4 linked regions of the Schizosaccharomyces pombe genome follow. The gene in region 1 interacts genetically with each later gene. Each region holds a gene or a part of one and is shown on either strand. Other genes may lie near its edges. The genes, in order: oca2, ins1, cwf28 and rnh202.

Evidence for each region.
Region 2: mutations in oca2 (region 1) and ins1 together harm fitness more than expected from each alone (negative genetic interaction), as found in Schizosaccharomyces pombe (one large-scale study listed by BioGRID).
Region 3: mutations in oca2 (region 1) and cwf28 together harm fitness more than expected from each alone (negative genetic interaction), as found in Schizosaccharomyces pombe (one large-scale study listed by BioGRID).
Region 4: mutations in oca2 (region 1) and rnh202 together harm fitness less than expected from each alone (positive genetic interaction), as found in Schizosaccharomyces pombe (one large-scale study listed by BioGRID).

What each region holds. Positions count from the first base shown.
Region 1 is NC_003421.2:755,642-765,510, reverse strand, and holds oca2 (serine/threonine protein kinase Oca2), read left to right. Parts: upstream 1-2,886; 5' UTR 2,887-4,657; coding exon 4,658-6,610; 3' UTR 6,611-7,143; downstream 7,144-9,869. Other genes in the region: protein Emc6, read right to left, coding at 7,650-7,660, 7,750-8,005, 8,087-8,146; xap5 (splicing factor, xap-5-like protein), read right to left, coding at 9,325-9,869. UniProt on the Schizosaccharomyces pombe protein: Overexpression causes cell cycle arrest.
Region 2 is NC_003421.2:414,211-421,375, forward strand, and holds ins1 (INSIG domain protein), read right to left. Parts: upstream 3,458-7,165; 5' UTR 3,368-3,457; coding exon 2,795-3,367; intron 2,589-2,794; exon of another isoform or gene 2,570-2,588; coding exon 2,406-2,569; exon of another isoform or gene 2,323-2,405; coding exon 2,214-2,322; 3' UTR 1,947-2,213; downstream 1-1,946. Other genes in the region: histone H3-K4 methyltransferase Set1, read right to left, coding at 1-1,317; family protein BIG1, read right to left, coding at 4,266-5,109, 5,172-5,263; SPOM_SPCC306.07C (U3 snoRNP-associated Cic1/Utp30 family protein), read right to left, coding at 5,790-6,447, 6,669-6,802, 6,863-6,925.
Region 3 is NC_003423.3:3,989,860-3,996,609, forward strand, and holds cwf28 (splicing factor Cwf28), read right to left. Parts: upstream 3,127-6,750; 5' UTR 2,979-3,126; coding exon 1,833-2,978; 3' UTR 1,753-1,832; downstream 1-1,752. Other genes in the region: fes1 (Hsp70 nucleotide exchange factor), read left to right, coding at 808-1,671; signal recognition particle receptor alpha subunit Srp101, read left to right, coding at 3,598-3,798, 3,977-5,137, 5,216-5,497; oms1 (methyltransferase), read left to right, coding at 5,779-6,525. UniProt on the Schizosaccharomyces pombe protein: Involved in spliceosome maturation and the first step of pre-mRNA splicing.
Region 4 is NC_003423.3:4,069,993-4,077,685, forward strand, and holds rnh202 (ribonuclease H2 complex subunit), read right to left. Parts: upstream 6,104-7,693; 5' UTR 5,730-6,103; coding exon 4,848-5,729; 3' UTR 4,725-4,847; coding exon of another isoform or gene 4,374-4,724; 3' UTR 4,312-4,373; coding exon of another isoform or gene 4,246-4,311; 3' UTR 4,127-4,245; coding exon of another isoform or gene 4,041-4,126; 3' UTR 3,960-4,040; coding exon of another isoform or gene 3,879-3,959; 3' UTR 3,774-3,878; downstream 1-3,773. Other genes in the region: DNAJ domain-containing protein Scj1, read right to left, coding at 1-374, 430-518, 593-673; serine/threonine protein kinase (CK1 family) Cki1, read right to left, coding at 1,719-2,933, 3,017-3,142; rex2 (RNA exonuclease), read left to right, coding at 3,599-3,773, 3,879-3,959, 4,041-4,126, 4,246-4,311, 4,374-4,724; SPOM_SPBC1347.09 (hexaprenyldihydroxybenzoate methyltransferase), read left to right, coding at 7,458-7,693.

The sequences.
Region 1 (9,869 bases):
GTGAATAAATAGAGGGAAATGAAAAAAATAAATAAATAAAAAATAAATAATAAAATAAAAAATATTTATATACACATACATATAGATTGGAAAAAGATGAAAGAAAAAAAATGAACCAACCAATCTATCAATAAGTAAATCAATTAATCAATAAATATATAAAAATAAAAATTCTAAAACCAAGAAAAAAAAAAGAAAAAGAAAAAAGATTGAAATCTTATAAACAAATCCTTCTACGCTGCATACAAACACGTTACCACAGTCTGGAGTACTGTTGGAGAGTGAACCGAGACAGCCGCGGGGCGGTCCTTCGGCGAAACCAACGAGACGTTAAATATTTGCGATAATATTGTATAGTGCAAGTATGATAAAGACCGGTAACAAAAGTATAGCGGAAATTGAAAACCAAGTGCAAAATCTTCCAACGAGCAAAAGGTGTTACCCAAGCACGTCAGATGCATCAACCGAAGCAAAAATGTTTAAACGCAGATGAAAAGCTTATTGGAAGAAAAGTAAATTTAAGGCCAACGATTGGAGGAAGGAAAAAGTTTGATGGGGCAGATCCATTATGTTACACCTTGACTTTGTCGGCAATCAAGTCAAGTCAAGTGCCGAGGGCGCGCCAAGGTGGGTAAAGAAAGAGACAAGAGCAATACCGTGACGATCGGAAAAACCATTACCGAGAAATAAGGAAGGCCGGTAAATGGAATGAAACGTGGAGCGGCCAAAGGAAGAGAGAGAGAGAGAGTAGGAAAGAGTGAGCGAAGAAGGTGTCTGTCTGTAATAAGAGGAAGAAAAAGATGAGATGAAAGATGGATAGAGAGAGAATTGTAAGACATTGATAGAAACATTGATGGATTGGAAAAGAAAAAGAAGAAAAATCAAAAAGATGTTGGCAATTGTTTTGAATTCTAGTCAAAGAGTGAATGTTATATGTTTTTATGCTTAAAAAACAAAAAAACCATTCGAATGTAAGAAATGGTTTGAAGCAATATAGCCAGCGAATAAAAAATAAAAAATAAAAAATAAAAGGAAAAACCGTTCGATTCAAAGCAAAGTACAAACAAAGCCACAAAAGGATCTTACTAATAACGAATGCTACAAAAAACTAGACCAACTAACTAAACAAGTAGCAAAGGGATATAAAGAGGTACAGCGAAGTCACTGAAAAGATGAAGATAACGAGATATACAGATGTCATTAAAAGAGTGGTATAACGAAATATAGTGATATCACAAACCCACAGAATTTTAGGGCTGGTAAGAAAAGTAAAGAGAAGAAAAACAAAACAAAAGAATAAAAAAAACAAAAAAACAAACAAAAGGAAAGGCTGATGTGCATATAGTCTCAAAAGTCAATCGAGTTTAGTTTTACTTTTTCATGAGCATCTAGCATTTGCTCTTGTTTTGTGTTCGGCCGTCTGACTGTTTGGATGAGGAAGAAGAAAATTTTGTAGGGCGGCCGTGAAAGAAAAGGAAACAAAGGAAAAATTAAAAGAAAATAAATAAAATCGAATTAAATTAAATTAAATTAAATTAAATTAAACGAAATAAAATAAAATAAAATAATAATAAAAATAAAAATAAAATAAAATTGTAATTGTAATTGTAATTGCATTTGCTTTTGCTTTTGCTCTAGAAATGCTCCAATGTCTTTCCCTCGTACTAGTGTCATTGTCAGGATGCTGGATGGGCGAGATGACAAACGAGGAATAGTGTGTGCAATAAACAGGAGAGAGAAAGGCAAGTGAGAAGCAACAAGAGTTGAATCAAACTGAATTGAATTGAACCAAATTATTATTCTTCTTATAATCAAATTATTATTCCTCTTTAATCAAATCACTATTCCTCTTTAATCAAATCACTATTCCTCTTTAATTAAATTCCCATTCCTCTTGCTTACTGCCGCTCTTTTTTTCCCCCTCCCCTTGTTTAGATTTGGGTTGCTGAAATTTTCTTTTCTTTTTTTCATCCTCCTCCTCCTCCTCCTCCTTACTTTATTTTGTGTTTAACTTTTTTTCCCTTCTTTCCTTCAACTTTAATAAACCCGATCATTCCTTCCGATTGATCCTCTGCCAAATTTCCACCAAACGGTCGGATCCAAATTCAATGGAAAAGGAAGCGACTGGCGGTCGCACGAAGCAATGACCATGGCAGATGGATGAAATGATAACATCAACGGAATTAATTTCCTGACAAATGATGATACAAAGTATTGAATGAAACATGTCAATCATCATTTACTTATCTACATTTCCCACACTCTAGTGAATTTCATACTTTAGCTAATTTCAACACTTTAGCTCTAGCTACTCTTCCACCTCTTTAATTTTTTCTTTAGCTCTCTCCATCTCTCTATCTCTTATAACAATCTCTTTTTTTATACGTTATTCATCTTTAACCTCTCCCTTTCATCCCATCTCAATTCCTCCTTCGACTCTCAATCGCCCCCCATCTACCTTCTTTCGCTCTCCTTCTCCCCAACGAGGTCGCGTTCCTCTTCGCTATTCCCCTCTACTCCCCTCTCTCGCCCCACACACCGCCTGTCTCGCTCACTCAACTCCCTTTCGCCCTCCCCCACGTCATCCCCCCTGCTTGCTAGCGTTTAGCCTTTCGTTCTTCCTCTCAGCGTTTAGCGCGGTGCAACGGATTGTGGAGTCGCTCGCCGGAGGTAACACGTTGTAGCCGAACTAAAAGTGACATCATACTTCGGCACTTGCATGGGTGGGATTCCCGGAGATCGTGTGGATTTGCTAGCTCCTCCATCCAATGCGACTCGGCAGTTGATGTAGAGCGGCCATTCGAGATTACATGGGAGATGCTGTAGTAGACTGCGTGTTTCGTATACATATATTATATACACCTGCCGTGCACCGCAATACTTTTTGCCTTTTCCCATCCACTTTTTTTCATAGTATTGTTGAGAGCCACATTGATTGATTCCTTTTTATCAAGGAATTGAACCTGTTTCTCGTCGTCTTTTTTTTTTTTTTTTAAACTAGCAAATAAAAAAATTCATTGTAAGATTTGAATTATACTAAAAAGCTCTACTTCACTCCCCCGTCAGTCATAGTCCAACAACTTTGACTCAACAAAGCAAAAGCAAAAGCAAATCAAACCATACGATACGATACGAAAAACGAAAGTTTTTTTTGTCCATTGCATTGCTTTGATTCCCTTTGGTCTATCTGCCTTTGATTTCTTTTCTGGGTAAAACAGGAATTGAAAGAATTTTGAGAAAGTAAACGAAAAAATAAAGATTGAATAAAGCATAAAGATCTTATTTCCCATCAAAACATTGTTGTTATTGTTGTGATTTCTTCTGAAAAACAACAAATCAATTTCCAACTTTTCTATTCATTTACGCTTTTTTCCAATTCCCTTAATTTTCCATCCATCCATCCATCCTCATTGAGTCGAATTCTTTCTACTCAATTTGCCATTCGTCCCTTCACCCTTCCTATTCCACTCCCTTCTTTCCGGCTTCTTCCGTTTCGTTATTTGGTGTGATCGGTATCCCGAAAGTGAGTGAGTGAGTGAATTGTGTGATTCTCTTTCCCCCTTGGTATTCTTCCTTCAATCAACATTCTTTCGAATTCCCTTTTTGGGTTGATTTGTTCTTTGTTGTTGTTTTTTTTGTTTTGTTTTGTTTTTACGTACGTTCTATTTTCTATGAATACATAGAATTTCCTGTTTCGTAATCTCAATTCATTTCTCATTTTTCATACTTTATTTGAACCCAAGGTTTTCACACTTTTTCTTTATCTTCTCTTTTTTTTTATTTCCTTTGTGTGCTTTTCTTAAAGCCTCTTTTTTTTCCTCTTTGTGTGTCGTGATCGATCGGATCGTCTCGTCGGCTCACTTTACCTTGAATTTCTCCCTTTGGAAAATATCTACTGATATACCTATAAAAAGGTTCCCCATTCCCAATTAATTCCAGTATTGTTTTTTTTCCCTCTTCCTTATTTCCTTTTTTTTTTGTTCTTGAAATCTCTCATTCCTTTGTCGTTGCGCCAAAGAATTTTCCATAAACAATAACCAATTCGTTGTTGTCAGCGCTCGATTTCCCATCAAAAAAAAGTTATCTTCTTAGGAAATACTTATTTCTTTTCTCTCTTCAACCCTTTTCTTACTTGGAATTTATTTATTTATATATTTATTTATTCATTCTTCCCTTGTCATCCGTTGTTTTAAAAAAAACTCGCTTGACATTTCCTCAATTTCCCATCTCGTCTGACAGTATCTCCGTTACAAACTAATATCTGTCAAAAATCTTTGATTTTTCTCTACTTTCTCTTTGACGTGTTTGTTTATTTCTTGTGTTCCCATTCACTCCGTCTTGAGATTGCCTCTTTGAATCGTACTTTCTTACGCAATTGTTTTGTGTCGTACTTGAAAACTTGTATTGTTAAATAGTTTAACAACTACATTCCTTTGAGTTCATTCAAGTTTCTCTTTTGTATTTTCCTTGTTGTATTCTGAAGTTTTCTGTCTTTTTTCTTCCCTGTTTTTTACCTTTTTACCAAACCTTCCACTTGTTGTTTGGTTCATTGTAAAACACTTTTTTCTCTAATCTTACCGGTGGTTTGCTCTTCAGTGAACTAGAATATTTCTTTTGTTTCTTTATTTTACAATTGCACATGATTGCCGTTACGAACATGTCTGTCACCCCTCCCAATGTACAGTTTAACCTTAATGGGGATAGCGATCATAAATCAGACAATTCCAGTTCCTCACTGGAAAATAAACTTGACACTGAATTAAAAATAACGAGTCCTCCTCGTAACCCTCCTCAGCGTTTGCATCCTGTCGACTTTTCTGAGCACGCTGATACGGACGATGATATGAATCATCCTCTTCCCAGAGTTCAATCCCCCGTCCATATAAAGAATCACATTGACCCTAAACTTGCCGAGGATCGTTATCGTTCATCTGCTGCACGTCACTTCGAACCTATTTCCATTCCCCCTTCCGCTATCACCTCTGAGGATGAAGATGATTATCATGGCTCTGCTAATTCTTCTACCGTCCTTCCCCCTCGTACTGAAAATGCTTTACATGCTGCTAGTCCTAAACCTTCAGGTTCGACTGGTTACACCTCTCCTGCTCTTTCACAAAACAGCGGCAGTGGTGGTGAAGGCGAATCTGATGAAGGCTCTTTTAACACTCAGCATCATCGCTCCCCCATTTTTCAGGCATACCCTTCTTCAGAAGACCTTGTCGGCGATCCCAACGATCCTTATCGACGCACCCGCCGTGCTCCTATTAAGACAAATCCACATGATATCCCTTCACAGTTCATTTTCAGAAAGTTGGGTCTTCATCATGGAAAGCATGGTCATCATGGACACTCTGGTAGTTTATCGTTGAAATCTCTTGTTCCTAATCATCATGACAAGCATGATAAGCATGACAAGCACGAAAAACATCATAGTTCTTTAGATCTTCGTCGCTTTTTCAAATCCCATCAAAAGACAGACAAGGAGAAAAAGCCATCTGTTTCCAAGTCAAAATCTTCCGCTAACCTCCAAGATGATCATTTCGGTCTTTTCAAAAAATACGGAAAATTTGGAAGAATGCTTGGCTCTGGTGCAGGCGGTTCTGTCCGTATTATGAAGCGATCTTCTGATGGTAAAATTTTCGCCGTCAAAGAATTCCGTGCAAGAAGGCCTACTGAAACCGAGCGTGAATATGCCAGAAAGGTTACTGCTGAGTTTTGTATTGGTAGTGCTTTGCACCATACCAATATTATTGAGACCCTTGATATTGTTGAGGAAAATAAAAAATTCTATGAAGTTATGGAATATGCTCCATACGATATGTTTTCCATCGTAATGAGTGGTAAGATGACAATGCCTGAAGTTTATTGTTGTTTCAAACAACTTCTCTCAGGTGTTGCCTATTTACATTCGATGGGTTTGGCGCATCGAGACTTGAAACTCGATAATTTGGTTGTGGATAGTAATTGCTTTGTTAAAATCATTGATTTTGGTAGCGCTGTCGTTTTCAAATACCCCTTTGAAGCCGATATCGTTGAGGCCACTGGTGTTGTCGGTTCGGATCCATACCTTGCACCAGAAACCTTGGTCCGGAAACTATATGATCCTCGTGCAGTGGATATCTGGTCCTCCGCCATTATTTTCTGTTGTATGGCTCTTCGCCGCTTTCCTTGGAAATATCCCAAGCTTTCAGACAATTCTTTCCGTTTGTTTTGTATGAAACAGCCTTCAAATGATGCTGAGTCTCCCAGTGATATACTTGCTGACATAAAAAAACAGCGCTTAGTCGAGCAAGGATGCGAACCTATTAGAAAAACCGATGAATCACATAGTCCAAACTCTAAAACTGATAACTCTTCAACTCATAAACAAGAGTTGTATGGACCCTGGAGACTTTTGCGCCTACTACCAAGAGAAACTCGTGCTGTTATAGCTCATATGTTGGAGTTGGATCCTGTTAAGCGTTACGACATTCACAGGGTCTTTGCAGACAATTGGATTAATGATATTTCGATGTGCCATATGGAAAATGGTAAAGTTATTCATTCTCCAACACATGTCCATAATTTGGTGGCTTCAGAAGAGTCACCTGCTCCACCTGCAAAGCATTAAAAACTTATATTGTCTTTCCCACGTTTGTTTACAAAGTCGCCTTGGATATTGGTGATCTGTTAAACGATACCAAAAAATGAATAATGTGGTGGCTTGTTAATGAGCTAATCTCTTAATCGTTGACGGTGTAACTTAGTTTTCTTTTCAGACTTTTTTTATGTTAAAAAATACTTTATTCTTTGATTATTAGGGACATTTCAATTTCTTACTATAATCTCCTCTATTTAATAGTCAGTCCCTTTTTTATCAGCTCAACTTTATGATTGTTGGTGATTTTTTTTTTCTTTCTTTGGTTATTATATTATTATTATTGTCTTTGTGAGGTTAGCTTGTTTATGAGTTATTTATATGGTAAATAGGGGAAATCTACTGTGGTAGATTAAAAATATCTCTACAATTTTGAAAATAAATGTAAAATTGTCGCATCTTTGAATTTGGTTTTCATTTTTTAGTAAGTTTAGATAATACAATACAATTCATTAGTCTCAAAATTTTCAAAGATCGTGTTTGAATATGATATTTTGTCCTTTTCAACCGTTGTCAAAGTTGTTGCAAATATTGAATATATGCAGTGTTTACTTCAACTGTATAATAATGGTAAAACACGTGTTCAAAAAATAAATGCCTAGGCATCCATGTGCCCTGAAGCAGCTAGTTTTTAAGCACTAGAGACAATTTCTTAAAGAAGTAGAACATATCTCATGCAAAGTTTTCGAAATCAAATTTAAGGAAGACGACATGAATACAACGGAATGTGTGTGCTATGTTCTAGCATCGCTGACAGGACAAATATATTTTAAACAAATATCCTATTTTCTATAGGAAAAGTAAAGAAATGTAAAAAAACAGTTAGATTTGTGTTTTATTAGGAAATACAAAATATTTATAGGATGGGTTCACGAACAAAAGGAAGAGATCCACTTTTTTCTCAAACAATAGATCTTAATGAGGTATATGTGTTATTAACGAAAGGGCTGAACAAGAATAAGGAGGGTTCATCTTGGATTAATTGCCAAATGCATAAATCAAATTAAACACATTACTCATAAACTAATGACTTAGTTAGCGTGTAATTGTTTCAATGCGAGATCTGACTATTCAAACAAAATAAAATAGCAACGATCGAGCAAGTTTCTTACCATATACTAAACTGTAGAACAATGTCCAAGTTAAAACATAAGAAGGTGCGCCATCTAATATTTTAGCGATCCAAAACTTATATCCGGGCTGGTAATACTTAGTTAAGTTACCACGCATTTTCAATGCAAAGAGTAGAAAGGAGACGAAGAAGTAACCGAGTACATACAGAGCAAGCCCTTCATATGAAGTTAAACCCAAAATACCAGCTGCGCACCCGAAAAAACTAGAAGTCAAGTTTCGAACAAAAGAAACGACCTTTGGATTCATTAGCACTCAATTATAAAATCCTTAAAAAAACTAGTACCAAGAAAATCTAGCTCTGCAATCATTTCTTACCTGTTCATTATATGCAACATTTTCTACAACAATTGGAGCGACGCCTTTATCCCTTTCCATATTAGCTTATGAACAATTCTGATGTTTAGTTGAGTTCACCGCTTGTAGAATTATAACCAAAAAATGATGGATAACGCATCTTTATACTGCGGTATTAACTACATAAGGACTTAGTAGGAACGTAATTTTTTCGCAGCTTGACGTATCCTTAAAAGCATTTTGCAAACTGCGTAATTGCCAATCTTTCATGTAAAGCTACAAGCGATATGGATATGGGAAAAAGCATTACTTTTTGCTTGGGCTGAATGTTGGCTAGTTTGGAGGGTGAAATAGTTTATTCAATACAATTGAGTACTTTATTTTTTTCCATTTGATTTTTTTGAACAGAAATGGGCTAATTACTAGGATATTGGGAAATCGCATTGTTTAAAAGAGGTTCTCGTTTTACATCAAGGTCGATTTTTCATATTTATTTGTTTTAGAAAAAAGTATCATCTTATATTTCCTGTATTACTGGTTTTCTAATTCTAAAACTTGAAAATGGTGGATGAAACGTTACATACTAGATTGTTTACAGTATACCGAAAGGATTAGAGACTCGTGAACATTCGTAAAAGCGACATGCTTATACTTCCAAGAGAACGAAAAGCGAATTTCATTTCTTATTTACAATAGAATAGTTATTCTCATCATTCAGTCACGATCACTTTTTTCTTTACCAAAAATTGTATACCTAAATAGCACAGTATAATCCACCGCAAATTAACGTATCGTTAATATGTTTATGATCAAATACTATGTATTTGCATACCAACGCTGCGATACATTAAATAAAAACAAGCAGAAATATGAGAATTCAATAATAAAGGAAACATTTAATAATTCCAAAAGCGAATTGCTAATTTTTTAATTACTTTATTTTACAATATCCTATAGCACATCAATGAAATCAAGGTTTTCAGTCAAGGTTGGAGTGATGTTGAGAGTAGTAAGTGTAAATACTAAAACCCATTGCGAATACTTAGTGGATAATATCTGTTTCTTTTTTACCAAAGTCTCTCTCTTTGTATAGCTTATCAAGTTATATGTTTGGCGCAATTCATTTGTTTAAAATACAAACATAAAAACAATATAGTTGTAATGAAATTGTTATTAAATTAGTCGATGAGGGAAGTATGAGTATGCAAAACAAAAATAAAGAACCAAGAGAAAAAAAATCGAAAACTTTTTAAAAGGCATTATGAGGGCCGGTAAAATAATGCAGCGTTAGGATCAGTTGCATGCTTTTCCAATGAATAATCTTTTCGAGAATCAAAGACTTCCCAATGCACACATGGAAACACATGGCGATTTTGTAAATAATATGATTTTTGAACTAGATGAGGAATGCATTGAGAAGGAAGTTGTGTAGTTGCAACCATTTCTGGACTAGAGCATGACAGCTTATCAAAGTCAAATAAAAGTCCATCACGTCCTTGAACTTTATTAATGTAAAAGTAGTAAAGCTCATGGTGATGGGGAATGATTAAATCAGATTGAACCAGTAAAAATTTATCCATATCCAGAATCCTCTTCAAAAATGGGATTTGCTGTTTCATATCAGCAAGAAAGTGTCCAACCGAATCTTTCAATCTAGTCCTTACATGATAAGTGGTACTTGTTCCATCGTAATAGATAAATGGTATCAAAATCTCTTTTTCCCGAATTTGCTCCTGCTCTTTTAGCCATTGTTTGCGATATTCGGCTCGCTTCGCGTTTTCACGTATTTCTCGCTCTGCATCTG
Region 2 (7,165 bases), 340 kb from region 1:
CTTTCCGACTGTTGATTCAATTTTTAAAGGAACATCAGGAACACTTGTAGATGAAACCAATAAATTTTCTTGTAGTTCTTCCTTAACAGAAGGCTTAGGCATTGAATGAAGATATTTGAAGATTGCCGGTCCAATTATTTTACTTTTTACATCACGTAACAAAGCAGCCTCAAGATCTCTAAGCACAACTGAGGTTGCTTCAGCGTACGCTTCCTCGGGAGGTAAAACAACTCTTCGTACTGCGCTCTTTTTTCCATCTTCCTTTGTACGTGAAGGAATGTCATGAAATTTCAATTTTATGCGACAATTTTGTACGTATGTACGATCCAGCGCACGGTAACAATTGCTCGCTTCGCGATAATTATTAAAAGTTATATAAAACCCGTCTTTGTTCATGTATATCTTTTCATACAAAAATTTTCGAAAATGATGCTTTATATCAGTATAATACACACGATCTGGAGGGACAAAGCGATCGTCAATTAGTAAATAAATATAATCATTAATATTTTTTGGAACATCAGTCTCGCTTGACGTAAGAAAACCTGATTTCTGGTCCACGTTCTGAACTTTAGAATGTTGCAAGTCTCCATTGCTCAATGTTTGTGAATTTTTCGATGGTTGACGCCAAGGAGGAATATCTTCATTCATAGCTGCAGATAACTTTTGCCGCGAAGATTCATCTTCCCGCTCGAATCTCTGTTTCTGTAAAGTTTCTTCTTGAAATTGCTTTTCAACAGCATTTAAAGCTTTCTTGAACGCTTCTTCGCATAATGAACCATCCCGATCAAGGACTACTGAAAGAGGCTTACCGGAAAACCTCAAGCCATTTGCTTGTTGTACAGCAATTTTCGCTGAATGTGCTGCTACAGAAATGGAACTACGCTTGTCAAAAGATATACAGCACAACCCTAAAGAAGTACCTGTATAAGGGTTTAACTTTAAGTCTAAATCGAAAACTTCCCCAAATGATTTAAAATGATATCGGAGCTGTTCAGAAGTCACGAGCGGTGAGATGTTAGAAACAAAAACCTGAGTTGGAGGTTCTGGACCTAATGAATTCTCATTGTAGTCATAATTTATAGTTTGCAAAGATTTTAAAAATGGCCTTCCACTTTTAGGAATACCGCGGGCATATATTGGATTTTTAAGTCTAGGGTCGCGAACTACTAAAGGTGGTTTTGAAACACCATTAAACCGATATATAATTTTGCGACCAAGGTTCTCCTTGATTCCTAATTCTGGATCGTATAAAACTTTGTAATTATTCCTTTGAACGGGTTGAGATTTCGACCGCGTAGAGGTATTAAAATCCATGGCTGATTAATATTGAATCCAAGTAGCAAATCCCAGGCATTCGATCAAAACAAAAAAGAGCTATAAAGTAAAAAAAAAAAAAAATCAAGAGATATTAAAAACCTGTGCACTAAATCAAAATCAAAAATTTGGTAACAACTCGATAAGTGTAATTTATTCCAATAATGAGCCTTGACAAATTATGAAAAAAAAAACGTTATGTAAAAAGAAATAATATCGCCGGGATGAAGAGCTTTCTATTGTAAAGTATTTGAACCGTAATTCAGCTTATAATTGGAAAAGTATGTCGCGCGACGTTACTTTGTAAATTATAACAATATTCAAAAACTCAAGTAAAACTTGATCAGTCTTCAAATAAATACGTTCATAAGGCTAATAACAAGTAAAAAAGCTCTGTCAAACATCCGTTTGGCCAAACACAAAGTTTATAGGATCTCTGTGGATGTTTGTGTAAGGTAGGCCAATTCATATTACGCGCCACAGTAGCTCTTATAGCGAAATTTAGTAAAATCGTTATCCAAAGATACCGTTGCATATTACACTACCAATGTTGCTGAAGAGAAGCAAGAATAAATGGCTTGAGAAAGGAAAACTTGTAGATGAATGTTTTAGAACAAAGACATAATTATAAACTACATGAGGAATATTAGGAATCATAATAGAAAATACTAACATGAAAAGATTGTTGGTACATGATAGAAAACCGATTCGCACACAACGATGAATGAGACGAGAAGGTACAAAAGGATAATCGAATACAGAAAAACCAAATAAGTGCCCAGATGCGAAGTAGGAAAACATTTAGCAAAACAAGTTTAACCCGGTTGTTTTGGATAATGAAGTCTAAGGCTAAAAAGAGAACGTAAAGCACAAACAACCAACTCCTAGAGAATAAATTAAAATAGTAGACGACCAGCGTTACCAACAATCGTAGAAGCGGAGAAAAGTATCATAGGAATCCATAAACGAAACTGAATTTCAGGGAATTCAACTCCATTTAACTCACTAAATTTGTTAGCTGATAAACGAATGTTTGAAAATACTGGAGCAGCCTTTGGTAGGCAGTTGATGGATAACAACTAACATACATTTTTGAGGTATCAACCAAATTATAATATAAGATACTCCCCAACACAGAAGTAATTGTCGACAAAATAATACCGTTTCTTGAGCGATCAAATATATACCAAATGCTAGCAGAACTCGCAACGAGTGCAACAATGGAGTGTGAATTCGAAATAAATAGTAATTTCTAGAGATAAGTTAGCAAGAGTATATTCACGATGCATAGTAAGCATTGGCAAAGAGGGTTTACTATCAAACTTAAATTCTCAGAAAACAGCACAACTTATTTATGGTGATGAATAAACTATATCAAGAAGTCGTTACGCATAGATAATTGCTGTAACTCCATACATCTTGCATATATATTTCACTTTTTTATTTAAAGGAACGCCTCGTATAATGTAAAACTTACCTTCATAGAAAGTAGCAATGTAGCGAAAGCAGCAAGATACCGAGAAATCCATTGCCATTTAGACGATTGTGAAGGGCGTAAAGGGGCAGCTCCCAAAGGATACTTCGTATCCATACGTCGATAAGAGAGTCCAAGTATGACAGCAACGAAGCCAAAAATTGCAGGCCATGGGGGCTCAAATTTCCAACTTTTGAGATTGACCGTCAGAAGTGGTAGCTTTGCATCTTGCACAATTTGTTCAGCCAAATAAGTAAACACAAACCCTAATCCAAATATAACACAAAGCTTACAAAAAAAAGTTATTAAAGATGAATAGTCTATAAATGTTATCCCTTTCTTTCTCTGTTTCTTTAAATCATCATCGATCTGTCTAGACGCGTAATCTTCATAACTACTCAGGGATTCATCATCTTCTGCCTGCTCTTCATCTAATTTAAGTGGAGCAAAAAGCCCTGATAGTGTCGATTTCATATTGTCCAAAGAAAGTACCGACAAGGACTTCTTGACCGCTCGATTTCCATTATAACCATCTGGGTAGCGCGGACGGGGTTCGTAAATCTCTTTTCTGCTCATTTTATTCAAGCTTACGGCACCTTTCTGTAGAGATCCTTGTGAAACTGACTAAATGGATGGAGAAGAATCAATCTTTACGTTTAGGTACTTGGCAGAATCGAGACATTGCACAAAACACGCATAGCCCAGTGACAAGTAACAATTTTGAGTAACAAAGATCTCAAGTAAGAGAGATCTGAAATGAATAAATATTTACAATCACTTTTATATGTGAATTTGACCTTTCTAAATTATAGAAATATACTCAAAACTTTTCTGCATCCATATTACTCTTATTGTTAAGGTATATTGTGCTTTGATCACTTGAAGATGCATGCCATAAGTAATGACAATGTTAACTAATAACGAAAATATCCAAGGAAAAAACTCTCGCAAACACTCATTCTACGAAACAATCAGCCACGAAGAAATTGCTTTAAATAATTAAGGAAATTTCATAATTGAGTCTGTATGCCTAAAGTGGTTTCTCTAGTTTATTCAAAGTATAGCAAATTCATCTACTATTTTTAAAACCGCAAAACAAAAATATTAATTGAATAGAATACAAAAAGCAAAACAAAGTTATGCTGACTACATGATGCCAACAACTTTCACCTTCCGTAGAGAATCATCATAAAGAAAAAACAATATTATGGTTATAAAGTTTGTCTCATCACAAGAAATAAATTCTTCAGTCCAAAAAACTATTTAATAGACTTCAATATATTAAAAAACAAAGATCATTCTAACCATTTGGACACCTAAGGAATTGCGCTGAAAGGTAAAAATGTCACCAAACTATACTTATCAAGAACCATTTATGACAATAATTTTCTTCTAAATTAAGTGTGAGATGTATCAATTATGAAAGAAAGAAATAAATTGAAACTTCTTCAGCTTATTCACCTTAAGAAGAGGTTTATAACTGTTTGCGTCGAGGACTATCAAAAGCGTGATAGCTGATTTGAATAGAGGAAAGTAAACGGCAAGAAATAAACAAAGTTGGAACCAATACAGCCAATGCCAAATAACCCATGTACAAACCAGGAGTAAAAAATTGATATTCGGTAAACAGTCCCGTCGCACCATTGTCGGTGACAGGGTGCTTCCTTGTTTGGTGCATAGCAAGCGTGGTTTGTGATCCCTCATTTTGATCAGGTAAAGAAGCCAATTGGCCGTGTTGAAGAGCACTCTTCCCTGAGTTGAGACCACCTAGCGTTTGAATTACAAATTCAGCATTGGCCTCTTCTTCGTTAGCATCAACCTTAAATCCTTCAAAATCTGAGTTATTCAAAGGAGAAGAGGCTATAATTACATTCCACTGAGCATCTTGTTCCAAGGTAGATTGTAAGTTGTAGAACATTTCATCCAATTCCATTAATTGTGCACTTCTATGATAACTTTCATTTGACAGTTCATTCATGTAAACAACAGTTATGCGATCATTTTGAAGAGGAGGAAAAGCATTAAAGGATCCACCCAAGTAAACTACCTCAACGTCGCAGTTTTGCTTTGCCGAATGCACCAACTCTTGTGAGTCCAAAGACTCCTTGGAATAAGGAAGAAGTAAGCTATAGGGTGATTGCAAAGAAACACGCTTTAAATGTTTAAAAGCTCCCAACTGAAAATCATTAACCTCAAGGCCTGGTTGATGTATAATTAAGGTAGCTGTATTGCATGTCGAAAGTGCCTCAATTGCGGCGTCAAAAAACATCATAGGGCAAGTGGATATTGAAGAATCATCGGATGATTTGGGGAGTTTGCTGTTTTTAGTTAGATTAAATAATTTACACAGTATAATGCCATCGATGGATGCAGGACATACGAGTTCGTAGAAAATAAGAAAATCGGCGAAGTATCTTTAAATGCTGATACTAAAGAAAAGCAAACTATAAATAAAATACTCCAAGAAAACATTTTGACACTAAATTTTCTTTACTTTGGACAAGTTTGGATGTTGTCAATTGCTTGAGCGTTGGAGTGGTAGAGAATAGCTCTATATACTACTTTCAGTATCTAAAGGTACTAAAATCCTTCTGAATGAACAAGCTACATATAAGCAGATAGATTATGTAAATATAACATGTTATTTACGAGAAAAAAATAATACTACAAAACACAAGACGGTGTAGATTTTGTTCCAAAATCATGACAATAGTCCATGACACTTGTTATACACAAAAACCCTTATTTATTACTCAGTCCAAAATACCCGTTTATAAAAGACGTGCCCTTGTAAATCCCTTTTGCTTTCAGCCACTCAAAGCTTTTTCACATAACTAATTAACATCGAAGGAAAGAAATGTATCAGAAATTTGAAACAGGCAAAGTCAAATGGTGTTTATAAATACATTGTCAAAACTCTTTCTTCTAGCCTTAGTAGAAAAATGGTAATTATTTTAAAATACTTTTTTTTTTCAATTTAGGAAAGCGAAAGTCAGTTTCACTTATTCCCTTTGCCTTCTCCAGAAGAACCCCGTTTTTGAGCACGCAGTTCACTTTTCTTAAGAGGTCTTGCATCTTGAATGTGCACAATGTGTCTTTTATGAGCAGCAAGATTGGTGTCACTAGTCCAAATTGGCAGAGAGGCACTGTCAGCTGTTTTAATCGCAACATTATCAATTGCAGACCACCCTTTCGGAATGAAATTAGTTAGCAGACACTTCAATACAGTCGTAATATTCTCCAACAATTGTTCATTGGTTTGAGTGGCCAAACCACAGAGAATGGTATGACTAGTGCCGGCAGATAACTTAAGATAAGTAGAATGAAGACAACGAGCAACTTGATTACGCAAAGTCTCTTTCTTTTGTAAAACAGAAATAGGAAATGGCTTAATTTTTTTCTGTTCAAAAACTTTCCCCATCAATAGGGGGATGTATTTTAATACACGATCATCAACCAAAAAAAGGTTGTGAGAGTCTCGTAGCTCACATTTTTCTCGGATTGTTTTATACTTTAATTTCAATCTCGGGATGCTAAGTACTTTTGTAATGACTTCGTCAAGCCCTTGTTGCTCCACCAGATCTTGATATGTCTGCTGTGAATCTTTCACAATCAAACAAGCATCTGTTACATGCATTATCCTGTGCGGAAGGAATCTGTAAAATAGTTAGTACCTTATAATTTTAATGAAGAACACGCATCGATTCTATGAATGTTACAACAAGCTTGATTTATTAGCAAATCAACAAAACCGTAATACCTCTTTATTTCTGCACAAGCAGTAGAAGCTTAAGGTTTTAAGTAATTATAAGAACAAAAATTTTATTGTTGATCTTATTACTTCAGGAAACTTAATTCATCATTAATGCTCACTTACACTTTTGATGGTCTTCTAAGCGACTCTTTCTCAACGGGTTGGAATGTATTAACCTGAATATAAACCTTTTCTTTTTCAATAGGTTTATCAGAGGATCGAATGTGCTGCAGCAGGGCTCTAATTGTTTTCTCTAGCTATTGATTATTTGTAAGTAAATTGCACGATAATTTGAAATTAAAAAAAAAATTTCTTACTAATTTTATGTCAATTTTATCCAATGACTTTAAATTTTTCTTTTTTTCACTTGTAATCGCCATTTCTATTAAGATGTAAGTAATGGATGGCTTTTTGCAAGTTCAACTTGGGTTGGTCAGAGAAGTTAATATTACAATGCTATTGAAAGTTCTGTAGCATATCATTATCAAAGTTTAGTTTGTAAAGAATTAATCAAAGAACAATTGTTCTGTCTTATATGCCATGGCCTTATTAAATTGATGGCTTTGAAACGATACTAGATAAATAAGGCCAACAACTCAAGAACCGCAAATGTCGAATGA
Region 3 (6,750 bases), on another chromosome or scaffold:
TTTTCTTATAATAAATGAAATGAATGGATAAATTTTTATCAAAAGCCCATTAGTAGTTATTTTTTTTTATAGCTGTTATGATAATTGATCCAATAACTTAGATTATACTAATTGACTACAATGCGTTGTGTTACTTCTTTTACAATAATGGTTGAAAGTCAGATGCTTAAAAATGAATTGTTGATTTTCAGTTCTAAGAAATAGTACATTATACATACTGCTCACTGTTTGTTTTTTTCTACCAATAATTAATATCGCCTGAAAAGAATTAAAAGTAGCTTTACTGAAATGCTTCAAAATAGTAGCATGTACTTCAATCTTAAAATAGTGTTATAAATATTTTAAGAGTGAGAAGAAAGCTTTTATTCTTTATTCCAAAGATCCACTTCTCAACTAATACGTATATTCCAGCGTAGTACATTTATATTTCTTAAAATTTCATCCGCAGCTTTCCTACACATGATCCATTCAGTTTAGCTTGCAAACACGTTACTAAGCAACTTAAGGATCTGCACAGTTGTGTTAAGATTAATTATGTGAAGTTTATACCTTCGTAAAAGTTGCTTAACGAACCCTAATATATTTATTTAGGATTTTGCTAGAATACTCTAGGCAGTAATCTACTTCGCATTTATAAGTGCAAGTTCCCATTAAAGCTTTAAGACTTTTTTGTATCTTACCATTTTTACTAACTTTTGCTACTTTTTCTTTTTGAATTTTTATTTGAATAAGCATTTTCTACCCAAACCGAAATTTTTATTCAAAAGTTCAAATTTTTAGGTATTATTATTGTTTATTCTTGACACAATGGAGAAACTTTTGGCCTTCAGTACGCAGTTGCAAGCTCAAGGAAACTCTTCCAATTCTCCTCCTGATCCTAAAGACCTTGATCCCTCAGTTTTAGATCATATTTTTGGAGCAAACCCAGCTGATGAAATGAGGAAAGCGATGGACGCAATTGAGGATCCATCGGTACCTTTAGATCAGAAAGAGATAGCTTTTGACAACTTAGAAATGCTCGTAGAGCATATTGACAATGCAAATAATTTGGTTCCCCTGCAATTGTGGCCTCGCCTATTGAAACAGCTTGAGAGTCCGGAATCTACCTTGCGCAGATTAGCTGCTTGGACGATCGCAACTGCCGTTCAAAATAATCCTAAATCTCAACAAGCGCTTATAGAAAATGATGGATTGAAGATTCTCTTCGGCGCCCTAAAAAAAGAGGATTCGGATGAAACAAAAAATAAAGTCCTTTATGCAATAACTAGTGAGCTTAAACTTAACGAAGCTGGAATTGCTTTATTAGATAAAATCCCAAACTCTTGGGAAATGCTGATTGAAATCTTGGAGCTTAAACACTCGGTTATGACAAAACGAGTTATCTTTTTTTTCTATGCATTACTTATTCAAGAAGATAAATCAAAACAAATTATTCTTCAAAAGGCACACGAATTTCAGATTCCAGAAAAAGTTTATCAATTCAGTCTTGAACATTCTGTCGATGAGGATTGTGTTACCAAATCTCTTCATACACTTTATTTATTCCAGAAAAATAAAGTGTCTGTCGCAAATACTAACGAGTTATTAAAGTCGCTCGTACAATTTAAGTCAGAGTTTCCTGAAATTTTCACCGTCGATGAATGGAAAGCATTTCACGAAGCTCTTGAATAAAGGTTGAAAGCTTCGATTACTATTTTTATTATTCATGTGGACTACGGAGCAATATAATGAGATGTTTTATTTCGTTTATGACTGATAAACAATTTTTTGGTTATTTGGAAAGGATACTCTAGTAACTGTGGTACTTAAAAAGTAAGATAATCGTAAATTCATTAAAGTGTACGAGTACTTCTGTAACTTCTATCTGGATTTTCTCTCTCAGTATATCTATCGCTTCTATGAGAACGTTTTTTATATGAATAACTCCTTCCTTGATAGTAATCATCTGAATAACGGTCTGTTCGATGTTGTTTCCGGCGCTCCGAATGGTATTCGCGATACTTAGTTCTGTCTGGATCTCTATCGCGTTTGTTGTAATTTCGTGAATTATAATCTAAATGTTTACTGCTCACTGAAGACTCTCTTGAGAGGTTGTTATCTCGGCTTCTTTTTCTGAATAGTTCTGAACTGGGAGTTAAGTTGTCAATGGAATTTGACTTCTTCTGTACTTCAGTATGTTCGTTTTGTGAATTCAGAGCGGAATTTGATTCTAGAGGCTTAACAGGAAGAAACATAGTCTTTTTTGGATTTTTCCAAATATCCAGCTCAGTAAGTTCGGAATCCACAGGCTTGGCTCCCATACCCAAAAACGTCGGCCTTTGATTAACATCAAAAGCATCTTTAGAAGATAATTGACCATTCCAACCCATTCCTCGAAGCATGGCGGCGCCAAATTCTTCAACCGGAATTTCCGAGTAATCTTTCATATTAGAAGGCTCCGGAAGCTCGTCAATGTCTTTTCTATATGCATCTTTCTCGTTAACAACATTAGTGGTAATCGGCTGTAAGTTGGCAGAATTAGCACTTTTAACATCGTCATTTAAATCATTAAGGACAAGTTGGACTTCTTCAGGAAGAATATCAGTACTTTCTTTATTTGTGGCTATCTTATTTTGAGCCTTTTCATTTGAATTATTTGCCTTCCAGTCCACAATTTCATTATCCGCTGCTGATGAAGAAGCCACCCGAATATTTAGACCATAATTTAAGCCGCTATCTGGCAATTGTGAAGGTTTCTCATGAACTTCTGTTTCTTTTTTTTTAAACCTGGCTTTTCTTTTTTCCATCCAGTTCTCATCACTTGCAATGTGGATTATCTTTGGCGCTCTTTTCTTTTCGTGTATGCGCTGAATAGTTTCATTCTGATAATGAACTCCCTCTTCAGCGCTAAATCCAGTAATAAGTTGAGGACCTTTTAATTTTTTTTCATCTTCATCCTCAGAATCGCTGAATGCTTCTAATACGGCTTTTCGCTTCATCAGAGTTATTATGATAACTCACTTGTTTGCGACTAAGCGTATTACAATGAACAAAAAAAATAAAATGGCAAAAATCGGCCAGATTATAAGTAGGAAGGAAAGTTTAAAATTACAGTGAAAATAGTCTTGAGAATAATCACATTCGTACAATGAGAGTTGTGAAGCTTTTCAGGAATTTTTCGTTGCCCAGACATGGAATAGTGTGTGCTCCCTTTACCTCTTTATTTGGATTACAGAATTCATGCTCATTTCTCCCTTACTTAAAACGCACCTTCAAATAGCAGTAAAAAAATAGCTTTTTTATTTAGTGGCATTTTTTATTAATATAAAAGTATAAACAATTTTGGTTGAAACGAAAGCCTACTGTTAATATCAACCTTTAGTCTCAAATTGCATCTATCCTTGTATAATATTGCATACAACAAGTTTTAAGGTAATCTTTAAAATACGTTAAGAAAAATATGTTTAAGCAAATAGCTTAACTCAATTAGCACCATAGATTTGGTATAGTGCGTTATTATGTATTGTACGGCAGTGAGCAATGTGTTTAATCAAGAACACTCCTTCTTAGTTGGTGAGTAGTTTACTACTTTTAAAGCCATTTGTGATTGAGCCTGGAATGATTGACTTGTTTGCGATAGTTAATAAAGGAGGCATAGTACTTTGGAAAAAAACAAATTCTCTTGTTAATTTGAAATGCCTTCAAGTTTTATTTCACGAAGCTTTCTTAAGTGAGCAAAGAACGGTGAACAACACCGTAACATTTGATCGGTACACCATGCAGTATCAAGAGGCTACACAATATAGCATAGTTTTTGTGGTAAGTTTAATATATTGTGATTTGTGCTTTGACAGAAATTGTCAATTACTATACACCCAAAATGAGGTCCAAAAATTTTTTTGTTTATACTTTATCTTTGATTTTCTATTATTTGTCAAAGTCAAAGCCATACCTTTATCGTGTCATTTGAACTTAATTAACGCGGTTGAATTTTTAGGTTGTGTTTCAAGATTTGAAATGTATGGCATATTCTCAATCACTGCTTAATAGTGCTCATAATATATTTCTGAATCTATTTAAAGAAAAATTAGAAGATCGTCAAGTTCCTAATGAAGCAGAAGTTGAAAAACTGTTCGCTCCCATTTTTAATCGTAAATCAGCACAACTGGAGAATGAAACAGACACGAAATCTTTACCTGTTGAGGCTAATAATGATAACTCAGCAAGAAAGAAAAATGAATATGAAATGAAGAAAAAAGGCGCTCAATCCAAGCAAACAAATGCCCCTAAAAAAGGAAAGAAGCAACTCAGAAAATGGGATGATCAAATAACTGAGGAAGAACAGGCTGCATTGAACTATTCTAGTCAAGCATCTTCTGCTTCCCAAACAGTCGATAATTCCCAACTTTCTTCTATTGTGGGTAATAATAATAAGTTTCAAAAGACTGGTAGTGGTGATGTTATTATAAGTGATTTGGAAATGGATCCCAATCAAACAATTTCCAATAAATCTGCATCTTCTGCGTTTTCCCTTTTCTCCAACTTAATAGGTGGGAAATACTTGAAGGAGGAGGATCTTAGTCCAATTTTAAAGCAAATGCAAGAACATTTAACAAAAAAGAATGTCGCAAATTCTATAGCTCTGGAGCTTTGTGAATCTGTGAAGGCTTCGTTGATAAACAAAAAAGTTGGTTCGTTTGATACTGTGAAAAACACAGTAAACAAGGCCTTTCGGGATAGGCTTACTCAAATACTCACCCCAAGTACATCTTTGGACCTTTTGCATAGTATTCGTTCTGTACGCAAAAACGAAAACCGTCCGTATACCATTTCTCTCATTGGCGTCAATGGTGTTGGAAAATCTACAACATTGGCTAAAATAGCGTATTGGCTTTTATCTAACAACTTTCGAATCTTAGTTGCTGCCTGCGATACTTTTCGCTCGGGTGCAATTGAACAACTCGGAGTACATGTGAAAAATCTCCAAAGTTTGAAGGGTAGCTCCATTGAATTATTTGCACAGGGATATGGTAAAGACTCGAGCTTTGTTGTTAAGAACGCTGTTGAGTATGCCAAGCAAAATAGTTTTGATGTTATATTAATTGATACTGCTGGCCGGAGACATAACGATCAAAGGCTTATGGGATCATTGGAAAAGGTAATTACTTACAAAATTGATTAAGTATTGAGTCTTCTACTAAGATAGAATTGTTTGAACTTTGAACTAACATAACAGTTTACTAAAGCTACTAAGCTGGATAAAATTTTTCAAGTGGCAGAAGCATTAGTAGGAACAGATTCCTTAGCACAAGCAAAACATTTCCAAGCTTCCCTTTATCATCGCCCATTGGATGGTTTTATTATTTCTAAAGTTGATACTGTGGGTCAGCTAGTTGGTGTTATGGTTGGCATGGTATACGCGGTAAGGGTACCTATCATATTCGTAGGCATTGGACAAACTTACAGTGATCTTCGTACATTATCAGTCGACTGGGTAGTTGATCAACTGATGAAGTAAGCCATTAAATGTTTACCTTTAACTATAAGATTTTTTACCATATTATATTAATGGGATATCAATTACTTTGGTAACAATTTTTTTAAGCTTAATTGTTTTTTTATTTGTTCGTTGAATCAGTATTCGAGATTTAGTTTTGTATTGGTTTCCGTTTAGTACCTTTCGCAGTGCGCGTGTGGGTCAATTTAGCGATTTCAAATATTCTAATATCAAACCGCTAAAATCTTGTTTTTCTCATTTCATTCATTCAGCGATTAAAATACTTAAAAATATTAAAAAACATGGGCATATTAAAGAAAACTATCTTTATAGGAGGTATATACGGTCTAGGTGTCTACATTGGTGCGGTAGCTTGGAGGTTGAGGAAAGATGTTCTCAATTATGAATCGCGACAGAAGTCAGACTTATTAATTCCGAACAGCAATAGTATTTCAATTTATAATCAAATTGCTGATAAATATAGCAGAAAAATTACGCGAGAGGAAATATTTTCTGGAATATATTTTCTTCGATATTTCCTCTTACGAAATGCGAAGGGTGATGTATTAGAAGTTGGGAGTGGACCAGGTACTAATTTCCCATTTTACAAGTGGAAAAAAATTAACACTCTAACACTGGTTGAGCCGGCTGAAAAAATGCGTGAAATTGCAGATGCTCGTGCTAAAAAAAAGGTACCTCCAAATGTATTGTATCGACAATTTGCAGACTTGCGTCAGCTTCCGCCAAACCAAAGTTATGACACTATCATTCAAACATTTTGTATTTGCTCTCAAGAAAAAGCGGTCGAACAATTAAATAACTATCGCTCTTTATTGCGTTCCGATGGTCGTATTTTACTGATAGAACATGGCAAAGGAAAATACAAGTTCCTAAATAGAATTTTAAATGCATATGCGGAATCACATTATGAGTCTTGGGGATGTGTTTGGAATCGAGACATTGAACAATTATTAGAAGATTCTGAACTGACCATAGATTCTTGTAAGCGTTTCAACTTTGGTACTACATATGTGATTGAAGCACATTAGTTTTTTTAATTAATGATATATTATATCATATTTTTATGTAATTAAAATAAACAAAGCTTTATACAAGCATAAAAGGTTTGAGGACTTTTATTATTAAGAGATGACTACGGGCGATAGCTCATCCAACCTTCCATACTCTACATTTTTTGCTTCAGTGCGTCGCATATTTAATATCTACGAAATATTCATTAAAATTTGGTATTTTGATCATTATTTTATTAAAGG
Region 4 (7,693 bases), on another chromosome or scaffold:
CGGAGTATTTAGGATTAAAGCCCTGACCACTACAAACACTGCAAGTTCTCTTCACCGGAATTTCCAAGGTAAAACTGCCTCCGGTGTAAAAAGATGAAAGATGAATTTGAACTATTTGCTCCATGCTAGGTCCTCTGCGAACGGCATTTTGACGTCTACGTCCGCCAAATATGTTATCGAATATATCACCAAATGGATCAAATCCGAAACCTCCACCTGGGAATCCTTCACCTGGACCACCACCAGGACCACCAGGTTGACCGTTTAATCCTTCTTCTCCATAAGCATCATAAATCTTACGTTGCTCAGGATCAGAAAGGACTTCATGGGCCTTGTTAATTTCAATAAACTTCTCCTGTGCTTCTTCATTACCTCTAGAACATTTATTAGCTTTAGGCTTTCATTTGTTTGCATGCTTGTTTAACTTACGGATTTTTGTCAGGGTGCCATTGTTTCGTCAATTGTCTATATGCTTTGCGAATCTCAGATTCAGATGCATCTTTACTGACTCCAAGGATCTGTTTTTGAGAGAAGTTGTTAGTGAACATTTTTCTTTAATTTTCTTCTCAATCCTACGATCACATGCACTTACTTGATAGTAGTCAGCAGCAGATACAACTGCTTGAATGCAAACTAAAAATCCTAATATAAAATGAAAAAGATTGAAATGCATTAACTATGTTTAGGAAGCGAGTTGGAGTTTAGCTCACTTTAACAAGGGAATGGTATTATGTAGAAAGATTTTCTTGAAGAAATCCAGGACAAGTTTGCAACGCCTCGGTATACTCATCGCCGTGGTTATCGAAACCATAAATTTAATTTAACATTGTTTAGAAATGTCATAAAAGTTACTATATGAAAATATTTTTATTAATACAATTAATCCATTTCAAGGATCCACATAGGTTATTTAAATAGTCCAAATAGTTGATAATTTTATATTTGTTTCAACGAATATCGGGTGGAATTGTTGGTAGCAATATTTCGAAATATTTTTACATGCTAATTTTATTACTAAATTTTTTAGTTCCAAAAACCAACTACTCATTATTTCAGAGGGTAAGTATGCCTTTAGTCATTTGAGGCAGAGTAAGGATGATAAATAATAATATAATATCTATGTACACGTAAATACATATACACATAATATATATAATATAGATAGATAGATGTGGGTGTTCAAACCTCTACACATATGTACGAGAGTCCAAATAACTAAAAATAGACTGACAAGCAGTATTCAACGACCTTTATGCTCAAGGAACGCATAATATCATCGGAAGTGATCAAAAGACAAAATGTTGAACGAGACAAAGATTATAAACGGAAAAAAACATAAAAGCAAAGAACCTGTGCAAATATAAGATATCATTGCTTTAATCACAATAAGTAACCTCCAGTTTGACAATACGCGAAGAAGCCTAAAGAAAAGTAATTATTTCAAACGTACATTTTACAGATTTATAAAAAAGGATAGATTACCGGGAAGGAAGAAAAAATGCAAAAGTTAACCCTGCTAGCAATTCTAAGAAGAAGGATTTGGACAAAGAAATAAAATGAAAAGAAAGTGTATAATTAAATGAATGAAGCACAGAAAATCGTTACGGCACAAAAAATAAATCACAAAAACACTTTTGTCAACTGAAAGCCTGATTATCCATACCAGTCTGAAGAACAAAATAATCAAGAAATTCCTAAATACTAGTAGAACATATTATTCATGTGTCTTCATTGGAGCCAGAACAACAAGAAAGAATACTGGCCCAAAATGATTTTTTCTTTTTAGGTGCTTCTGTTTCTTTCGTAGCATTTTGTACTTGCTCTCGGGTAACCCGTTCTTCAGAAGAATCATGAACATCAACGGGTGCTGGTTGATTAGTTGCTAAACCGGAACGATCAGGCACAGTTGTGGTAGCTTTCGTCTCCGTTGGCGGATTAGGTAAAGAATTTTGATTGGGTTCAGCAGAATCGCTTGCAGAATTCAGATGCGGCTCGGCAAAAGGCTTTTCATAATCAGAGCGTTTGGAAACTACGTTCTGAGTACTTGCATGATTTTGCAGGGCTGGTGACTTTGATTCCAATTTGGGTGCTGGTGGTTTGCTTGAACGTTGATTTTCTGTCTCTGCGTTTCGCGACTTCAAGCTTTGCCAACCTTTACCGTTATTCAATAGATTCCAGTCAAAATTTTCATCCTCAGTAGTATTTAATCGCTCTAGGACTTTCGAAAATAGGCCTTGCAAATAATCATAATCTGGAGTAGCATCGAATGCCAAATTACGAGCATAATGCATATACTTGTAGAATTCTTCCGGGAAACCAGCACACAACTCGCGTAACGGGGTACTTTGCTTTTTCTCACCAATTCGTTCATATTTTTGCTTATTGGTGGCAGCCTTCAATCCTTGCCAAGGTAGGCTACCTCTAAGAAAATACATGAATACATGACCCAAGGCTTCCAAATCGTCTCGACGGGATTGCTCCCGACCCAAATGAGTATTAATAGACATGTAACGAGCAGTACCCGAGAGGTTCTTTTTCTCCCGGTAAGGTATGTGCTGTTTGGTAACTGGATCACGATAAAATTTTACCATGCCAAAGTCTACTACGTAGATCATATTAGCATTTTTACTGTTTGGTCGACCGATCAAAAAATTATCAGGCTTAATGTCTCGATAAACGAGACTCTTCTCATGGATAGATTGCACTCTTGCCAACATCTGTTTTGCGGCCATAGCAACTGTTTTTACACTAAATTTACGGCCGCAGAGATCGAGCAAATCTTCTAAACTTGGCCCAAGAAGGTCAATCACCAAAATGTTATGTAACCCTTCTTGGCCAAAATAATAAACATTCGGAATACCCGTACATCCTGCCAGCAACTTGTAAGTACGGTATTCATCACGTAATTGAGGAGCATCACTGCGTCTTGGTTCCTATAAGCAAAATCAATCAGTAATGAAGGAAACAAGAAAAATATCCAGCTTCAAAGCATGGCATCAAATGGATTCTCACTTACAAATTTAATGGCTACTTGTTGATTATTCAACAAATTCGTCCCTTCAAAAATAACACCAAACGAGCCTTCGCCAATTCTTCTTCCAACTTTGTAGTGGACACCGACTACATTGTTTTGTCCACTCATTATCTTTGAACGATTTGTGCTGGAGATTTGTCAAATATGATGTCTCCGTTTTCCGCTATCGAATGCAAAAAACTAGGTTGTAAGCGATTCCTGTTTAAATACTTTTATGAATTAGATTGAATCACAAAGATCTCCTATACAAACCTTGAAATTACAACTATTCAAGCCGTTATTGAGAAAAGAGGTGGATGGTGTTGGAACGGATGTTTTTAGTGGTGCTTTAGTTACGGAAGTGTCATGTGCATCACTTCCCTCTATTCCTGCCTGATTAAGGGGTTAGGTAATGCTGTCTTTGGAATACAAACACTGTTTCAAAACGTTTAAATAAACATACTATTACTAGTTTTCATTGCAAAAATCAATCGATAGCTAAGTTTTTAATTTTAAAAAATCCCGGATATTAAAATCCAACTTACAACGAAGTACTTTCATTAAGTAATAATACCGTATTTTCATATGCAAGGTGCATTCTTAAATAATAGAATCATTTTGCAGTCATATCACATTAAAAAACGCTTGTATAGCAAACGCACTAGCTCGTTGCATTCGCGCTTCTTGCAGCCAACATATCGCAAAAATATTTGTCAAATTTCCAAACCCATTTTCCAGCAAGACTTATCAACGAATACGAGTATGTTTAGATTCAGTCTATCAAGTTATCATTTCTACAATTTACATGTTTAAGTTTCTTTTTGTCGATGTGTACCTCAGTTTTTAAACTTTTACTAATATAAAGATTTCATCTCAAAATTGAAAAGTCCATTCTCCAACCTCAAAATGTCGAATTTAAAGCAGCCCCTTGTTTGGATTGATTGCGGTTAGTGAGCTTTAGTATAATCTTAGCTTTTAAAATGCATTACGATGGTTTTATAGGTAACTTGTACTAATATGATTGAAGAGATGACCGGGTTAGAGGTGGGAAAGCATGTATTGATGGAGGTCGCGGCAATCATTACTGATGGAAATCTTCGCCCCGTTGAAGAGGTAACTTTTAATTGTGAACATTGAAACATCGGCTTTTAACTTGAGATGTTTCAAGAGAAACAAATGCATGGTTTCGAAGTTGAGCGTTTATTAAGGCTGTCATACTAACTAAGGCGTAGAAATTTGATGCTGTTATTAAACTCGACGAAAAGCAATTGAGTGAAATGAATGACTGGTGTATTGAGGTATCTTTTCTTGCTTTTAGTTCATTCACGGATGTCAATTTTCTAATTATACTAATAAACAGCAACATGGGAAAAGTGGTCTTACGGAAAGATGTAGACAGAGTAATTTAACAGTGAAAGACGTTGAAAACCAGTTGTTAGCATACATTAAAAAATACATTCCAAAAAAACGAGAAGCGTTAATCGCTGGAAACAGTGTCCATGCAGACGTAAGGTTTTTATCTGTCGAGATGCCAAAGATAATCGAACATTTGCATTACAGAATTATCGATGTTTCTACTATTAAGGAATTAGCCAAACGCTGGTGCCCGGATATTCCTGCTTATGATAAAAAGGGTGATCATCGCGCATTGTCGGATATTCTTGAAAGTATTGGTGAACTTCAACATTACCGCTCTTATTGGCTTTCTTGAAACATTGCTCAAGAAAGAAGAATTCCACTTTTACAGCAATTGACAATATCTTGTAAACATGCCAAAAAAATTAAGGGTACTATGCTAAGAAAAAAATAAAAGCAAAATCATACCTCGGTGATCTTACTTTTTTGTAAAGAATGAAGATATTTTCGTCATTCCTTCTCCTGAGAAGTATTTGGACTTCTTGGTGGCCTGCTTCCGATTGGGCTTTTTTAAAAGACTTGATGTAATATCACTGTTTTGTGGACGTTTTTTAGAATTTAACAAAGCTTCCTTTTCTACCAAAATCTTTCTTGATTCTTCTAAGTTTTTAGTGTAAGCGTGCAGTGGGGCCAATTCTTCCTGCCAGTAGGCTAATTTGTTATACCATTCAGGTTGAAGATCTTCACAAACCAATGAAGCGGCATGCCACTTGCATGACAATTCTAGTAAATCTTGTGGAAGCGGCGTGCGGAGGTCCAAAGGCGCTAACTGTTTTTTAAGTTCGGTTACAATACTAGGGGGAAGATTTTCTTGAGCAACCTTGGCTTTCCTTAGTAAAATTTTAACAACAGAAGATTCATCCAGTTGAAAGGTCTTGGGCAAAGATCCTACTGGCTCGTTTACTTTACAAATCCGATGTAATGTGTTCAACAAATTCGGAGAGAGGACTTCTGACACTCGTGGATAATGAGGACCCATATTATCAAAGTGTTCAATGAAGTCTTCAAACGAGACATATCGATTCGGTTCTTTCCGGCGACTCCAAGTAAGTTCCTGAATGATTGGAAGCACAAGCGCGAGTAAGTCTATCGGGGTGCAAACATAGAGATATCCGTCCGATACTACATGATCCCCTACAAACCAAGACCTTTGTTTTGAAGAATCCCCAACTTGAAGGATTTGTAAAAGGTGATCGTTTGTTAATAAATAACGAAGTGGTCTCCCGGTCAAGGGATGTGAGAGTTCAACAAATTGTTGATTTGTAGAATCTTTGGGTAGTATGAATATCTTTCCCTGCATTTTTTAAGTTTAAATTATGAAACCCCAAAATTTGTGAGGCAATCACGTCTGAAACTTCGTACCACTATTTGCAACAAAAGTAAAAAATGCAAAGATATCAATTGAAAACAACTCTGAGTACTTGCAAACACAATTTTTTAATTAGAAAGATTTCGTTGTGTAACTTTCAGCTAAAGATGAGTATTTTGTAAAAGTATTGACAACGATTTGGGTATATCAAAATTTAAAACAGTGACGACTCTAGTTGTACATATACGAAAGAAATTAAGCATATAAAATTGATTGTTCCTCTTAAGATAATCATGAAGTTGATATAAAAGATGGCTGAAGTAAGAGGAGATTCGTACCGACTTTTTGTTGTCTGTTCAAGACACGTTGTTAGTCAAGAACTCCATCTTTATAAGAAAGCAGTACAAAAAAATGAAATGCATATTCTTAAAAAAGAAATATAACAGTCGATGTTGAAGTCAAGAGCGGCAATCTTAGTTATGAGAAATTCAATGGTAAACCACGGTAGTGAATTGAATAGAAAGCTTGCGGCTTCAAGTACCAAAAAAAAACAGCATTGGTTAAATTGAAAAGCCAAAGTATAGATATCCTTAATAAACTAATAAAATAGACATTGAGTATTTTCTCATCTTAATAATTGCTAGATTGACTATACTAACTGTTTATCACATCGAATTTTTTTTTTTTTAATGAAAAAAAACTGGTTGCGGACGTTATACATAAAGAGTGTATAATGGTGAACAAGACTAAGTCTACATGTTCTACTACGTTGATTGTAAAGTAATGAAAAACGTGAAGTACATTAGTTGAAAATTAGTGAAGTAACTAAAAGCGAACGAATATGACCTTCCTTGCTTGCAAGTACCTCAAAGGTGGTTGATGTGTTATTTAAACCATTGATGAATGAATCTTCCTCGTGTACATTCTTTCGGTGTAAGTCTCAAAATGGGTTATAACATTATTACATTGCTACCGCATTTTTTGTGACATGAATAGATCAACTTCCAAATTACTGTTTCATTAGCGAAGCTCCTTTTTGTATTTTTACTTAACAGTAAATACTTACAGTGATCTGAGCAATTTATGGAGCCTTTCTTGCGGGCCACTTTGAGAGCCATGCAGCAAGTCAGCTAGACTAACAATTTAGGCCAAATGATTCGTACTTTTTAACGAATATCTTGAATCATGCTTAATTGCTTCATTTAACACCCTACCTAGGGATTTACTCAAAACGATTCATGTAAACAATACTTTACAATTCAATGCAAATAGTGTGTTGGAACGAAACCCAATTTAGCTTCTTAAATTATGCGCAGCGGTTTCCAGTAGTATATAAAAAGTCCAAGCTTATTTACAAAATTCGGGTATTAGGGTAATACAAAAATGAGCGTTATACAAAAGCAAAAGGACGGTCACAGGAATCCTAATCTGTCGAATACAATAATTTAGTTAAAATAAGAAGCTACTGAAGTTTCTATATTAACAGGCTCTTTTCTGTCTAACATCCAATAATAGTTCTAAACAAATTCTCGCTTAATAAGTTTTAGTTATATTAATCATAAAAAGGGAAATTGTGCTAATCTTTCATAATCGTGGTACCTTGTGACATAAATTTTCAGTCATAACCATTTAAAGATAGTCCTTGATTATCTTTTTTTTTAATATTCCTATTAGCAAGACTTCACCGTTCATTAACAATATAAAAGGAACTAAAATATCATGTCGGATATAGTTTATGCCAACGTGTCTCATTACAACAAAATAGAAGCATCGAAATATGACAATCCAAGTACCTTGGCGATTTCCAAAGTGATTTCTTCAAAAATTTTACAGTTTGAAGACAATTCCGAAACCAGCCTAAGACATGATCTCCCAAAATATGATCAAGATAGGCTGCTTTTAACTTCGGATGATGATTTGACAAATGTAAATAATTTTTGGAAGAAAAGTGGTAT